2 linked regions of the Ovis aries genome follow. The protein of the gene in region 1 interacts with the protein of each later gene in a pairwise test. Links are inferred from orthologs where the notes say so. Each region holds a gene or a part of one and is shown on either strand. Other genes may lie near its edges. The genes, in order: KIFC3 and USP2.

The links.
Region 2: the proteins of KIFC3 (region 1) and USP2 interact in binary tests that used the Homo sapiens proteins (3 or more experiments, as listed by UniProt). The two-hybrid records come from large-scale screens. The link is inferred for Ovis aries from reciprocal best matches to the Homo sapiens genes KIFC3 and USP2.

What each region holds. Positions count from the first base shown.
Region 1 is NC_056067.1:25,311,641-25,314,184, forward strand, and holds the end of KIFC3 (kinesin-like protein KIFC3), read right to left. Parts: intron 2,284-2,544; coding exon 2,175-2,283; intron 1,690-2,174; coding exon of another isoform or gene 1,685-1,689; exon of another isoform or gene 1,661-1,684; intron 1,465-1,660; coding exon 1,439-1,464; 3' UTR 797-1,438; downstream 1-796. UniProt on the Homo sapiens protein: Minus-end microtubule-dependent motor protein. Involved in apically targeted transport. Required for zonula adherens maintenance.
Region 2 is NC_056068.1:29,661,541-29,665,354, reverse strand, and holds part of USP2 (ubiquitin carboxyl-terminal hydrolase 2), read left to right. Parts: intron 1-1,924; 5' UTR 1,925-1,965; coding exon 1,966-2,742; intron 2,743-2,962; coding exon 2,963-3,148; intron 3,149-3,814. UniProt on the Homo sapiens protein: Hydrolase that deubiquitinates polyubiquitinated target proteins such as MDM2, MDM4 and CCND1. Isoform 1 and isoform 4 possess both ubiquitin-specific peptidase and isopeptidase activities.

The sequences.
Region 1 (2,544 bases):
CGGGCACAGCAACTCCCCACGAAACCGGTGAGGGGTGGGCTCAGGCTCTCCAGCCCAGCCCGTCTGTTTCAGCCACACTCCCACCTGTCCAGTGGATGCGTCTGAGGCCAGTCAGCAGCTGTACCCTGCAGGGGGCTGGGACCCCAGCCTTGCAGTGGGGCCACTTAATGCGGTGGCTGATCCAGAGCTCACCACCCTCCCTCCACCCCCAGAGGCCTCCAGGGATGGGACTGGAAAGGCAGCTACCCCATGCTCTGAACAGTTGCCCCTCCCTGCAGGAGCCCCCAGTGCTGGCTGGCCAGAACAGGTCCCCTGACCCAGAAGTCACCCTGCTTCTCCTCCTGAGGCAGCTTCCTGCTCATTTGGTGCGAGGACCCCACAGAGCCCTGCACATGTTTCCCCAAGGCTGGGACCAGGTGCAGACCAGCACCACTTCCATGGTGGGGAGCCTGGTGGGCATGGCACCAATGGTTGGGAGCTGTAGGCAGAGGGAGGAGGGGGGTGGCACTTACCTATGGCCATTCACCTAAGGGGGCAAGGCCAGGGCAGAGGGCAGGCAGTGGTATAGGGACCACTGTGGCTAGGTTTTTGGCAAGCCTTTGGAGAGCTTGAGTTTCCCGTTTATTAGGTGACGGTGCCAGTACTCGTATGGGTCAGTCATGATAAGGATGGAGGGGAGGACACTGGATCCTGACTTGGGTGACAAGCCAGCACTGGGGAACCACCCACAACATGCCAACAGCCTGCTCCCTGCGTCTGATCAGGGACTCACAAGACCAACTCTTCCAGACAGTGCTTGTGTAAAAAGGTTATTTTAATAAGTAAAAATGGCTAAGCTTCCAAAAGTTCTTAAATAGGATTTCAGAGGGAGGAAAATGTCAAGAGGCTAGTGAGCAGGGAGACAGCCTGGTGCCAGGCAGAAGAGGGGAGCAGCAAGATCCCCACCCACTGGCCTCCTGCCGGCCATAAATAAAGCCCGACCCGCGGCAGGAGCGGGCCTCCTGTGTACATGTAGGAACACTATATACACGCCTGGCGAGATGCTCTACCTCCAGAGAAGAGCAGGACAGGGCTGCCCACCAACCGCCCAGCTCCCACAGTTCCTGTGCCTTCTGGAGGGGCCCTGCGGGCTGGGAAGGGTTGGGCCAGCCCAGGCGAGGGCCCACCCTCCCACACAACACACTTGCCCTCCCCACAAGGGCGCACACTGATGACCTGGGCCTGCCCTTCCAGCTTGTGCCACTTGCACCCAGAGCCACAGCCAAGAGACATGGTTTCCTTCTGAACATGTTTCTCATCTCTTAAGGGGAGACGGGGTCAAAGAGGCGCCTCCACTCTGGCCTCTGCTTTGCAGGCTCCAGACACTGCAGCAGGGACGGGGCAGCCATGCACGGAGACCCAGTCGCTGGTCCCTGGTCCCGCAGGGTGGGCATGTCCATCATACAGGCAATGGCCTGGACTTCCCTATGGGAGGAGGTAGGTTTTGTCAGCACCCGGACTGTCAGCCTCTGTCCTAGAGCAGGAGGCAGCCGGGCAGAAGCACACAGACAGCAGGCAGCGAGCCCCAGACCCAGCCAACTTCCCAGCACAGCCCTGCAACCCGAGGCAGCCAGGCAGGCGGGTGGGCGGGCAGCCCTGGGCTGCTGGCCCCCACACTCACCTGGAGACTCTGCAGCCCCAGCCGTCAGGCTGAAATCAAAGCAACAGGTGTCTCACTGGTAGGCTTGCCTTGGGCTGGGACCCACCCCCCAGGACTCTGCTGCCCACACCCCCTTTAGACTCAAACACTTGGCAGGCCCTTCTGTGAGTGGGCCAAGCTGGGGGCTGGTGCCCCGGATTCTAATCACCCATCCATGGCCTACTTGGGACGCCATGTCTTTCATGAACCCAGCCTCAGAGAATTGCATCCTGGGCCTCACATCAGCGGTCTAGCTTGGAGTCCAGAGGGCTGGCTTCCCCTCCTGACACTCCGTCTCCATGGAGCCTTCAGTTTCCCATCAATAAAATGGACCCAGCACTGTCTGCCCTGACTACCTCCCAGGGCCAAGGAAGGTTGTGAAACTGGTCTGGAGAAGTTTTATAAATTTAAAGCCCACTCCGATAAGGGCAGCCCAGTGGCTGTGATCAGCCTATGGGGGAGGCTCCCCACCCTGGCTCACTCCCTGAAGACTCACCTGAGGGCTGCAGCTTCCTCCTGATAGATCCTGGGCGGCTAGTGGTCCCAGAGCCAGGGGCCGAATGGGCTCGCGCTGAGGGCTGTGGCGTCTGGCAAGCTGACTCCCACTGTGGGCAGAGAAGGGCAGGTGGGCGGGTCCCCCGCCACCCATGTGTTTCCCCTCCCCAGCCACCCAAAAAATGTTTTCTCATCTGCAAAATGGACATGACGATGATACAATAACCATGGGAAGAAGGTGGGAATTAATAAAGAAGTTAACTAGTTACTACTGAGCATCTGTGTGCCAGCCTGCACCTCCCTGCCCCACCTCCAACCAGCTGATGACCCCTAGGTACCTCTGAGGTCAACAAAAATGCCTGGACTGAAGA
Region 2 (3,814 bases), on another chromosome or scaffold:
CTGCAACCCCACCACCCCAGGAGCACCCAAGAGCCCCTGTTGACCCTCAAGGAAAATGAGAGATCTTACCTACCCCTCCTTTGCCCTCCAGCTCCTTCAGAGATAAAGCCTGCAGGTTTACAGTGGTGGAGGGACTCTGGGGGCCGCCATGTGAGCCTAAACTTGATGGGGGTGGTGAGTTGAGGTAAAGCAGGAAGGGCACTGGGCTGGAAATCTGAGAGACATGGACACGAGTCCTCGCTCTGCTAGCATGTGGCCCTGGGCGAGTCAGTGGCACTTTTCCACTTGTACAACGGAGAACATGAGATGGATGACCCTTCATCGAGGGGACACTCTCATACGCCCCCGGCGGGGGTGGTGGATGTCCTAACCAGTCTTAATTGGCTAGAGCATGCACTTGGACACAGCTGACTCCAAGTTCCTGAAAAACAGCTTGGGCAGACCTTACTATTTAGTCTGAGTAACAGTTGGAGGATGTTGCTACAAGTCCTTTGTAGCAACAATTAAAGCAAGCTTGACAGTGCGGGCCGGTGACAGGTGCAGTGCACCTAACTGATGATCACCCTTGTTTCAGCAGAGGGGAAATCTGGGCTAGATTCCTAAATCTGATGTCCCCTTGGTGAGGCCTGGCTGTAGCTGTTTCACGTCGGTCACTTTGGTGTCCTCTATGTAAAGCGTGGTCATGGCTGTCCACTCCCTAGGCCCGCGGGAAGGTTCAATTGGATGATGGATGTGGAAATGTCCCCTTTCACTTGTGGTAAAATATATATGACGTGAAACTAAAAAAAAAAAAAAAAAGTCGACCCATTCGGCCTTTGAAAACTCAATTCAGAGGTTCTGTGTTCCTTCAGCAGATCCACCCCAGCTGCAAGGACTGCGGGTGGAAATAGGAGCGCTGCCTGCAGTGCAGGATTTTAGCCTCTAGGGGGCCCCCTTTGCACAAGTCATTATCACCATCGGTTTGCTGTGGGTACTAATAGGGGAAGCCCTGGGAGGCCACAGGGCCCTAACTCCACTTAGAAACGAAGACTTAGGTCAGTGCAGAGGGAGGGCTCTACCTCACAAGGATCCCCCACCGCAGCAGGTGGCCATGTCCAGGGAAGCACTCTGGGATTGGGTCTGGAGACTGAGATCAAGCGTTCCTCTCAGCCACCCATCACCACCACCACCCACACCTAGGCCCCTTTCCTCGTCTCATGGGCCTCCTGTTCCTCATCAGAGATCTGGCTAAATGATCCTCACGTCATGCTGTCTAAACAGTGTAAGATTCCCAAAAGATTGCTCCCAAAGAGGGGAGCAATCTGAACTCTTGGAATATCCAGCAGTTTTTAATCCAGGGGGTGAGGGCGGTGGCATCCCTCATCTCAGGGGTGCCTGCAGAAAGAAGCCAAGGAGAGGAAGCAGATGGGGTTTGGGCTGGAATACTCTTGGGGGCTTTTTTGTTTTTGTTTATTCAGCTGCATCAGGTGTTAGTTGGGGCACGGGAGATCCCAGACCAGAGATCGAGCCCAGGGCCCTTGCATTGGGGGTGTGGAGTCCTAGCCACTGTACCACCGGGGAAGTCCCTGGAGTACTATTTGTTGCTTGAAGGGCTGCAGTGGCGCGGTCCCCGCTCTCAGGCTGGGGGCTTTGAGGGGAGCGTCTAGTCCAAGCTGTGCTGAGACTGATTGCCCGTGTGGTTTATGAAAGCCTCTCAGCTCTGGGGCTCTCCCTGAGGTGTGAATGCCTGGGTGCGTGGAGACCTGCACACTGGTGCACACGCACATGCAGAGGTGTGTCCCAGTGGTGGGCCAGTGGCTTTCCTGGAAACAGACAAGTGTGGCCCCTGGTTGAGGTCAAGCCACTGGGGAATGGAGAGCAGGCACAGTGGGAGCAGCCTGACCCCCGGCAGGGCCTTCTGACAACTGCTTTCCTTGTCTTTCAGCCCATGAGGCTCCCAGTCCCCACCGAGTGCCGCCCTGAAGGATGTCCCAGCTCTCCTCCACTCTGAAGCGCTACACAGAATCGGCCCGTTATACAGATGCGCCTTTCACCAAACCGAGCTATGGCACCTACACTCCCTCTTCCTATGGAACCAACCTGGCTGCCTCCTTCCTGGAGAAGGAGAAGCTGGGTTTCAAGCCCAGCCCCCCTACCAGCTATCTCACCCGTCCCCGTACCTATGGCCCCCCCTCCATCCTGGACTATGACAGAGGCCGCCCCCTGCTGAGACCTGACATCATCGGGGGTGGTAAACGGGCCGAGAGCCAGACTCGGGGCAGCGAGCGGCCTTCAGGGAGTGGACTCAGTGGGGGCAGTGGATTCCCTTATGGAGTGACCACCAGCTCCCTCAGCTACCTGCCTGTCAGTGCCCGCGACCAGGGGGTGACCCTGACCCAGAAGAAGTCAAACAGTCAATCAGACCTGGCCCGGGATTTCTCCAGCCTCCGGACCTCAGATAGCTACCGGCTGGACTCTGGGAACCTGGGCCGCAGCCCCATGCTGGCCCGAACTCGCAAGGAGCTGTGCGCCCTGCAGGGCCTATACCAGGCAGCCAGCCGCTCCGAGTACCTGGCCGACTACCTGGAGAATTATGGGCGCAAGGCCAGCGCACCTCAGGTGCCCACCCCGACCCCTCCCTCACGAGCCCCCGAAGTCCTCAGCCCCACCTACCGACCCAGTGGCCGTTACAGTCTGTGGGAGAAGGGCAAGGGCCAGGCCCTTGTGTCCAGCCGCTCCAGCTCCCCAGGGCGAGACACCATGGTGAGTTTGCCCCTTGGGGACCTGGTGATGGGCTGGGGAGGAAGCCACTGATGAGGAAAGGGCTTCCACCTTGACAATCGCAGACAGAGGTTTTCCTTCCCAGGCCTCACAGTGGCTGTTCCTATAGCCCAGGTGGGGACGAACCAGGGAAGTCATCTCAGCACACCTGGTGCCCTAGTGGCTTGATGTCTTTGCTCAGGGGCTCTCCCACTCTCCCCAGGAAATGCACTTCACGACCTGTGCACTCGACGATGGCCCTGCAGTGCTCTTGGAAATGCCCAGCTACCCTCACATACACTGCGACTCTTATCCTCTGCTTTCCCACCCAACATGCCTGGGGCCCCTGCAGGCCCTGCCCCATCCTGGACTGCATGCTGAGATCCCCAGACCACCAGTGTGCCCTGTGGTAAGAGAGGCCCCCTGGCCCTGACTGCATCTCTCCTCCTGCTCAGGCTTTTATCTCTGAGTCCAGAGACATGGCTTAACGTTGGAACGTAAGACATCAGGAGAAGAGGATCTCTCCTCTGACGGATGCTGCCTGGCTGCGGACCAGGGGTCTAGACAGGAGTAGTTCTCGTGTGTCTTTGGAGAAAATGGTGCAGAACTTCTTGTCTAGGGCTTTAGTCTCTTTCTACTCCAATGTGCCTGGGATCAAATAAGGGAAGAGGCTCTGCTGGAGACCTGAGTGAGGGCTGGCATGACCCACCCACATCTGATCCCTGACACACCTCTCCTGGGGCACTGACTACAAATCTTCCTTTTGTGTAGTCATCAGTTTACCCATTAGGTGGTGAGCTTTCAGAGGAGGAGAAAGAAATCAAATCTCCAGATCCCTCACTGTGTACCTAGCTCAGTGTAGCATTCGGCTCACCTGCGTATCACATGGATGGTTGAATGGGTGGATGGACGGGGGAGTTGAATAGATATATGGGGGAATGGATAGACGGGGGAGTGAGCGGGTAGATGGATGGATGGATGTGAGTGGGTATTCAGAAGGACAGGCAAGCATCTGGGCAGGAGAACTGGGTGTTGTCATCTTCATTACTTTATGTACCCTTCTACTCTTAGGACA